Arabidopsis thaliana: one gene and its partner. The protein of the gene in region 2 interacts with the protein of the main gene of each other region in a pairwise test. Each region holds a gene or a part of one and is shown on either strand. Other genes may lie near its edges.

Evidence for each region. Proteins that work in one complex are often made in the same cells at the same time.
Region 1: the proteins of AT4G33690 (region 2) and AT4G02720 interact in a two-hybrid assay, tested with the Arabidopsis thaliana proteins (2 studies listed by BioGRID).

The regions. Positions count from the first base shown.
Region 1 is NC_003075.7:1,203,119-1,207,917, reverse strand, and holds AT4G02720 (Ras-induced vulval development antagonist protein), read left to right. Parts: upstream 1-2,025; 5' UTR 2,026-2,104; coding exon 2,105-3,373; 3' UTR 3,374-3,829; downstream 3,830-4,799. Other genes in the region: WDR5b (Transducin/WD40 repeat-like superfamily protein), read right to left, coding at 1-159; AT4G02725 (spindle pole body-associated protein), read right to left, coding at 628-711, 924-1,065, 1,592-1,863.
Region 2 is NC_003075.7:16,172,528-16,177,276, reverse strand, and holds AT4G33690 (G patch domain protein), read right to left. Parts: upstream 2,522-4,749; 5' UTR 2,340-2,521; intron 2,080-2,339; coding exon 1,911-2,079; intron 1,817-1,910; coding exon 1,534-1,816; intron 1,429-1,533; coding exon 1,140-1,428; 3' UTR 949-1,139; downstream 1-948. Other genes in the region: AT4G33700 (CBS domain protein (DUF21)), read left to right, coding at 1-71, 145-260, 340-611, 686-730; AGD2 (Pyridoxal phosphate (PLP)-dependent transferases superfamily protein), read left to right, coding at 2,647-2,729, 2,968-3,044, 3,163-3,230, 3,426-3,542, 3,827-3,889, 4,102-4,206, 4,292-4,342, 4,444-4,749.

The DNA.
Region 1 (4,799 bases), about 15 Mb from region 2:
GTTGGAGAATTTGACGCAAGAGATCGCCGCCGTGTGACCTTCTAGGGTTTTCAGGTGACGGTATGGCTTATATATCGGAACGTTTCCGCTTGTTCCTGCGTTACCGGTGGAATTCGCGTTAGCGACTCCGTTACTTGTTCCGTTACCACCGCTTGGCATCGTCGTCTCTCGTCGGATTTAGCAGAGTGGAGATGATCTCAATGAATCTCTCACCGTTACATATATATACATTCCGTTGACCATGACCTCTTGGGAATTACATTTTTACCCTTCATTCCTCATTTCTCGTATTGGTGGTTCTTCGGCTCGGTTCGGTTCGATTTGAATTTGTCGATTTTGTTGAACTAAAATTGGTCCGGTTCGTTTGGTTTATTTAGTTCGAAGGCACTTTATTCGGTTGGTTTCAGTAATGAGGTTTCGGTATATTTGGGTTAATTTCGGTTTGTATAATCGGTTCAATTCGATTTTAATGCCCACTACATTAGAGGACTCTGAAATCAAGATTTATGTATCCAAACATCTGTGAATGAAATTGAGATAAATCCATAGATGATGGTTATATTATACACACAACAGAAGGGAAGATTTATGCAAGAAACGAATGTAATTTTGAACATTGAGAAGATCCTATGAAGGCTTGTTTTTGCCGTAAATATCTTCAAAACCATCAGCTACTCGTTTCCTTCTTTCAGCAATCATTTCTGAATACGACTGAACCAAAGTACACGAAAAAACCACCAGAATCTCAAAGACAAGACCAAAGTAAAGTCTTGTTCACTAAGATTATAGAAACTAGCATTGTCTGAAGATGTTTAAACAGGATTTTTACTTTAACTTAGACTTAGTAAATTAGAGCTACGAACATTTCTTTAGTAAGGGAATGAAAAGGAGAGGTTGTTAGATGATGGAAGGGAAAATCATACCTTTGGGTAGCTATAAAGGAATATGTACCACCAAGCACCAATTACACCAACCGCAAGCGATGAAACTATGACCGAGTGTAGTATTACCCAGCTACATGCCACTATTGATAGACCCGTTAACATTATCGTCCATGGCTGACACCTGAGAAACATAGCCAGTTGCTTATTCAAAACCATACGGAAGAACACTAGGCCCTGAAAACGTCTAAGAAGAACCGTAAAGTTCTTGATTGCAAATACACACCAGATCAATAGATATTCAAAGCTGTAGATGCTGAGGTCGAAATGTTAAACCCTTCTTAACCCAATTACCATTACATAATCTGTATTTTGGTTCTTCACTATCTTCCTAACCAAAAGATTCAAACTTTTTCTTTCTATCTTCTAAACCACAACACACAATCATGAAACTGTAATGGGGTAAGTCTTGTTTTAAGTAGCATCAATAAATATATAGCTTCATATATGATTCAAAAAAGTTCTTGGGCAGGCATAAATCACTGAAAATGCTAATAAAGATTAAGGATTGGTCCACTTAAAAGTGAACTTAAGACTCTATCTAAGCTATAATCCCATATTCACAACCAACAAATACGATTCCTCATAAGTCTTAGGACCAAATCCAAACTACTTGAAATAAAATTGTTGGGAACTTAAATGAGATTTACCAAGAGGGTTTAGTGTCCCAAACAGAGTCGTATTCGAGAGAGAGATTGTCTAAGAAACCTTCCATGTCATCAACTACGCCTTTTTCATCGACAAATCTTGAATCCTTCGGCTCTCTCCGATTCCCACCAAAACTTCTAACTTTCGTACTAATCCTTATTGGTTTGAGATTGAACGAGTGTAAGTTCGTTCGGAAACTGAGTTTTGAAAGAAGATTCTCTGTTTGAGGCCGAAACGGCGACAGAGACACGGCGGACATGGAGAGACTTGCCATCTGAAGACGACGATAAGGATAGAGGACTCGATTGACTCTAATTAAAATGTGGGGTGCTTTGTGTAAAATCAAAACATGATTTTCAGTGGTGAATAATGATAAATATTGGGCCTATTCGTTAAGGGCCCAATAAGTAAAAAGGCGCAGATACTGTATATGAATCAAAGCCCTAATTTATCAGACAGCTGCTTAGATTTTGTTTTCTTCATTGTCGTCGTCGGAGTGAATTAGGGATTCGAGAATGACGATGAACTCGCTTCCGAGGAGATTTGGGAAGAATCATGGCTATTTGGATCGAGATTATCGAAACGGAAGACGATCTGGTTCAGATTCCGATGAAGAATTGAAGGGATTGAGTCACGAAGAGTATAGGAGGCAGAAACGGCTTAAGATGAGGAAATCAGCCAAGTTCTGCTTTTGGGAGAACACACCGAGTCCACCTAGAGATCAGAACGAGGATTCCGATGAGAACGCCGACGAGATTCAGGACAAGAACGGCGGCGAAAGAGATGATAATTCGAAAGGGAAAGAAAGGAAAGGTAAATCTGACTCGGAATCTGAATCTGATGGTTTGAGATCTAGGAAGAGGAAGAGTAAGAGCTCGAGGTCTAAGCGCAGGAGAAAGAGATCTTATGACAGCGATAGTGAATCCGAAGGGAGTGAGAGTGATTCGGAAGAGGAAGATAGGAGACGAAGGAGGAAGAGTTCTTCTAAGAGGAAGAAGAGTAGAAGCAGCCGTAGTTTTAGGAAAAAGCGAAGTCATAGGAGAAAGACGAAATACAGTGACTCTGATGAGAGCAGCGATGAAGATAGTAAAGCTGAGATTAGTGCTTCTTCGTCTGGGGAGGAAGAAGATACCAAGTCAAAGAGCAAGAGGCGGAAGAAATCTTCGGATTCTAGTTCAAAACGAAGCAAGGGAGAGAAGACGAAGTCAGGGAGTGACAGCGATGGTACTGAGGAAGATTCGAAGATGCAAGTAGACGAAACGGTGAAGAACACTGAGCTAGAACTTGATGAAGAAGAGTTGAAGAAGTTCAAAGAGATGATTGAATTAAAGAAGAAATCTTCAGCTGTTGATGAAGAGGAAGAAGAAGGTGATGTTGGTCCAATGCCATTACCTAAAGCTGAAGGTCACATCAGTTATGGTGGTGCTTTAAGACCCGGTGAAGGAGACGCCATTGCACAGTATGTTCAGCAAGGTAAACGTATCCCACGTAGAGGAGAAGTGGGTCTTAACGCTGAAGAGATTCAGAAGTTTGAGGATCTTGGTTATGTGATGAGTGGAAGTAGGCATCAAAGGATGAATGCTATTCGTATTAGAAAAGAAAACCAGGTTTACAGTGCTGAAGACAAACGGGCATTGGCCATGTTTAACTACGAGGAGAAGGCGAAGCGCGAGGCTAAGGTTATGTCTGATCTGCAGCGGCTTGTGCAGCGCCATATGGGAGAAGAGGTGGGGCCAAATCATGACCCTTTCGGTGCTGGAAAGACTGAAGAAGATGATGATTGATTTTGCTTGGCTTCCTGCTTCTGTTATGTGGGTACTCATCTTATGCTTTATCTTGTTGAATGTTCCTTATTTGCATCATAGATACTGCTGTTTGCTACTTGCCCGTTAATGAGCTTCGTAGTTTATGCTTTAATCTGCTATGTATCCGTTAATGAGCTTCATAGTTTATGCGTTAATCTGCTATGTATCACATGATTGTGTTTGTGTGTCAAAGATAATAGATTCTGACACTGAGGATCTGCAACCGTTCTTGTGCATTTACCTTAGGTCATGTTCGATGATTGAATTTTGCAGGGCATTCACTTAGTTCTGAGATTGTAGAACAATCAATTATTTAGGATATCCGCTTTGAGCCCACCACTGTATTTTCGAATAATGTCCTTTAATGAGCTTCACAGATTATGCATTCCTCCCTCTGTATTCATATCATTGCGTTTGTCTGTTAAGAATCCAGTCATATCATCATCAATGTTATCATTGTCACCATTATTATCATCATTCTATTTTTAGAACTGTGAAACAAAACAAGTACTTATATATATTATTGGGGATCTCTATAATTGTGAAGTGCAATAATTTCGGAATTTGGAGGCAGATAAAATTTGCAATAATATCCGAATTTGCAGGCAGATCATATTATTGGTAAATTACCTGCAAGGGTTCCAATTATAGTTTATGATTCCACTTTTGTGGAACTATACAATGTCTGAATCTGTTCTCAATAAATGCACTATCTCAATAGAAGACCCTACCAAGTACCTAGTCCATAATCTATTATTCGTTTCATAAATAATAACATATAAATCATTCAAAGAAGCAAAATGATTTTGGTTAAGAATTGAATGACAAAGAAAACGACATCTGTTCAATTTAGAGGAGATTAGCATTTTCGTATTACTATTCAAAGCTTAAAAATAGTATTTAAAAACAAAAAAATTATCAAAGAAATGTCATGTAAAGGTCCTCTTCTCATGCACGAAACGAATGATAATTAAATTAATTTATGAGCAAGACGCTTAAGTGATCCTTAATTGCTTTGTTTATAAAATAGTTTAATTATTATTACTCTGCTCAAGTAAAGAACGTGAAGGACAAAATGGTAACTGAATATAGTAAAGGGTATTAATGTAATTTCAATTCAGCAGACTCATGAAGTAACTGTGCCTACTTAAAGACAACTGCTCTGTTCTCTCTCTCTCCTTCGTCTCTATCAAGCTCATTTCTCAGATCCGTAGGATCTTCATTTCCATGGAGGCTTAAAAACCCTAGAAGATATTCTTTTACACATCACTCATCCGCTAGTGAAGATAAAAATCATTTCTAGAGCTTCCTCTTTCTCTCTCTGTATGATCTGAAGCGAATCGTCTTTAGATTCTTCACCAATCACTATCAAAAGGACCTCTTTTTAAAGGTGAATTTCTCTATG
Region 2 (4,749 bases):
AAGAACTTATTAACTATCAACCCAGATGAAGAAATACCTGTCAAGAATGTCACGATAAGAAGGATTCCAAGGTGAAACTTCCAAATCTAAGTAACTAAGCCCCACTGAATGTGCTTCAAAAGCTGATTTCTTGCTTTGTTTTAGAGTTCCAGAAATCTTGCCTTTATATGACATATTGAACGAATTCCAGAAAGGACTCAGCCACATGGCTGTTGTTGTAAGACAGTGTGACAAAATCCACCCATTACCTTCTAAAAATGGTAAACTGCTTCATTAATCGACAAAACAATGTCTTGCTGAGTTACAAGTATTGAGAATCTTTGCTTTGGTTTCTAATAGGGAGTGTTAAGGAAGCCCGAGTGGATGTGGATAGTGAGGGAACTCCTACTCCTCAGGAGAGAATGTTAAGGACAAAAAGATCGCTTCAAAAGTGGAAGAGCTTTCCGAATCGAGCAAGTTCGTTTAAAGGAGGGTCAAAGAGCAAGAAGTGGTCAAAAGACAATGATGCAGACATCCTGCAATTGAATGGCAATCCGCTGCCTAAACTTGCTGAGGAAGAAGAAGCAGTCGGAATCATTACGATGGAGGATGTCATTGAAGAACTTCTGCAGGTAAGGAATCTTATATAAGTTAAAAACAAAAATTCTTTTTCACGGATTAATTATTGCTTGGCTTGTGGTTGCAGGAGGAGATCTTTGACGAAACTGATCACCATTTTGAAGACTCCTAACACAGAGTGCATGACCACTGAACTGGTTATGAATGTCGAAAACTTTAGTCTTTGTTTTCAACTTTCAAACTGTCACTTGTCCGGCGAATGTGTATCAATGTAGGCATGAACAACAACTTTTTCTATGGTTTCAAGATGTTTTCTCTCTATATATATATCATTGGTCTCTAAGATATGTCGCTCTCTCCTTTCTTCAAAGAGTTTTACCAAATCTGAACCCTCATAGGCCACACCAATAGTTGTCTCTACTACCTATATATCATTAGTCTCTAAGATATGTCACTCTCTACCTTACTTCAAAGAGTTTTTATTCGCATTTTACTAATACAAGAATTAATGAAATATGATCATCTTATGGATACAACATCACTGCCGGTGTAAAAAGGCAATTACTTTTGTCCGGAAAGATCTAGTCCCTACCATATTTTCTCTTCTTCCTATCCCTTTTCTTCTCTTTTGACTTGTGTTTCTTACTAAGTTTCTTCTTATGCTCCTTTCTCTTTCTATGAGCCCGTTTGTAAACTTCCTCCTCGTCGGAAGAAGAAGAATCTGTCCTACGTCTCAATAAAGGTGATCGCTCTGGCTGAATCACTAGCTTCCGATCTCCTGTATCAGAAGTTCTTGACAATTCCCTCTCAGGAAGACAGGGTAGCGGTTCATCCATCATAGCACCAACAGAACCTCTGCCACGCTTGACCCTATCATAGACCAGAATCACAAGTTTTATCAGCAAAAGCCGATCCCAAATTCGATCATTATTGTAAAGGAAATAATCAGGCAGCATCTGAGTATAATGGAAATACCTTGATTGGAGAAAAGTCTTAACCTCGACATCTCCTAAGCCTTCATCATCATCATCCTCTGATTGCCATCTTTTGCTTCTGCTCCGGCTTGATGATGGTGATAAACTAGTAGTAGTAACATTCTCATCAACTGAAGTACATCTCTTTAAAAAATCCCTCCTATTGTTCTGCTCACTTTGACCATTGCTGCTCTCATCTCTTGATTTTCTTTTGAGCCTTTCACCAAACTCAATCTCTTTACTCCGAAGACTCCACATCTCATTGGTTTCCACAGCTTTGTTTGCTGAATGGAATAAAGAAGAAACAAATAAGAGATAAACTAAAAAAAAACTAGATTTTGTTGGATAGAAGCAAAGTCTGTCAACAAAAGATTATACCTTGCTGAACACCAAGAACTGTAGCAGTGAGAAATCTAGAGTTAGGTCGATGCCTTACATTAGGCTTCTCAAGATATGCTCTGACGCCATCTTTCTCAGCTTGTCTCCTCAATTCTGCTGCTTCTCTTAAAAGAATGGAAGCTATTCGATTTTCAGTTTCCAGATCCATCTACTCCAAGGTAAAACAAAAAAGTATAAGCCTAATCAAGTTATGTGATCAAATCAATCTGGGTAGATCAAACAAAGATGGAGTTGAACTTAATTCGACCACTACAGCTATCTAAATCATTGCTTCTTAATCACAGAACTTCCACTAAAGCTACGTTCTTTCGACAACGAAATCAACGAAGCAAAACAAACAAAATTACGTAAACACACAACAATCGAAAAGGGGATTTTTGGAGAACCCTATTGGTCGAGATTAATTACCACGAAATCGAATTGACTCAGATACAGATATCTAGTAGCAGCTTCACGAAATCGTGCGATTCCTCGGCGTTTTCCAGCAGGCGCAGAGCAAAATCATTGTCCGAGCCAGAGAGAGAAATAAATAAATTGAACTGAATTGGAAAATTCCCAAAAATTTCTAGTAAAACCGAACCGGAACAAACCGGATTAATTTCCTCTCAGACCAAACCGAAGAAGAACCCTAGTTTTATCAGTCTCACCAACTATCTCCCATGGTTCATTTGCTCTGCAAATTTGTCTGAAAAAATCTTTGTGCGAAGCAGGAAAAATGTCGTCGACCCATCAGTTAGTTTCTTCGATGATCTCTTCTTCCTCATCCACTTTCTTAGCCCCTTCAAATTTTAATCTCAGGTGCGTCGTTTTGTTTTCTTTTACTCTCTGTTTGCTACTGATATAATCTAGTGAGGATGAATATGAAATTGGATTCATTTCCAGAAATTAATTGTATGTTATGAATTTACTTGGAAATTTCAATCCTTTGGTTTTTAAGTCGATGTTGGATGGTGTTGTTTGGCCAGAGAACAGTGCATTTGCTTGTGATGATCATTGATTCATTTTTTTATTGGTTTGCTTTCCTTTTTGGCTTCAGAACTCGAAATGCTTGCTTACCCATGGCAAAACGGGTCAATACTTGCAAATGTGTTGCTACGCCGCAAGAGAAGATCGGTAATGTTCCTACTCCATGTTGTTTTTGCTGTAATGATTAGTAACATAGTTAATGATTTATCGTCTTTTAGCTGTTTATCTGTTTCTTACAATACATGATTTTGTTTTCTGTATGTAGAGTATAAGACCAAAGTGTCACGGAATTCAAACATGTCCAAACTTCAGGCTGGATACCTATTCCCGGAGGTTTGTTACCTGTTACTCTCTTGGTACTACTATTTAAGATTTCAAATACCTAAAGGAGTGGCATTTCAAGTTAACATTTTTGAAAGCTTCTAGTGATCTGAAATATTATAACTATCTGTGTAATAAGTTAATATATCCTCATTGATTCTGTATATAATGCTCCTCTCTCTTATTTTTTTGTGTGGATGCAAACAGATTGCAAGAAGAAGGTCTGCACACTTGTTGAAATATCCAGATGCACAAGTTATAAGTCTTGGAATAGGCGACACAACTGAGCCAATTCCTGAAGTGATCACTTCTGCTATGGCAAAGGTACCTCCTTATCTTAACTTAGCTTCATGTGCTCTTTGCCCTTCTCTGGGCTCTAGCATATTTTAAACTGATTTTACTAACACTGCCCTAACATGTATTATTTCGTTCATTTTGACAAAAATGTATAACATATTTTCTGTTTTGGCGTATTTGGATTATTAAACGAGAACTTCTCTGTAATCTAACAATGAAAATTATTCTGGTAGCATAGTTTTTTTGTTTGCTATACTATTCACACAGGCATGTAATCTCTAGAGATTAATCATGTTTTTTTTCTCTGACAGAAAGCTCATGAGTTGTCAACAATAGAGGGATATAGTGGTTATGGTGCTGAACAAGGTGCAAAGGTCAGTGCACCCTTCATTTCCACCTTATTGCGTTGTTATCATTTCTTTATTATCTGCCTTTGCACGTCACTTCAATTTTATTATGGATAGTCTTGAACTGCTGCTAAATTCAAGAGAAGATGGATTTAAACCTGTTTCTTACATGTAAAATCTTAAAGCTTAATCTGTTAAGTTTTTATCCAAACTAACCTTGATTTCACATATGTGAAAAGCCACTGAGAGCTGCTATTGCGAAAACATTCTACGGTGGCCTTGGCATAGGGGATGATGACGTTTTTGTTTCTGATGGAGCTAAATGTGATATCTCACGTCTCCAGGTTTGTTTTATTGCTGACTATTCATCTGTAATTGATACAAGATTAAGAAATATGAACAGCTGTTTCTTGATTCCACTTCTTGCAGGTTATGTTTGGTTCCAATGTTACAATTGCTGTTCAGGATCCTTCATATCCGGTAATTGGGCATATAGAAACCAAATTGCAGTTGTAGTCTTCTCTACTTTTGCTCCATTTTAACGTGGAACTATGCTGTCTCGTTTTTTTTGGATTATACAGGCTTATGTGGACTCCAGTGTTATTATGGGTCAGACTGGGCAATTTAACACTGATGTGCAAAAGTATGGAAACATCGAGTACATGAGATGCACTCCAGAGAATGGCTTCTTTCCCGACTTGTCCACCGTTGGCAGGACAGATATAATTTTCTTCTGTTCCCCAAATAACCCTACGGGTGCTGCTGCCACGAGAGAGCAACTAACGCAGTTAGTTGAGTTTGCAAAGAAGAACGGTTCTATAATAGTGTATGATTCCGCCTATGCAATGTACATGTCTGATGATAACCCACGATCCATCTTCGAAATC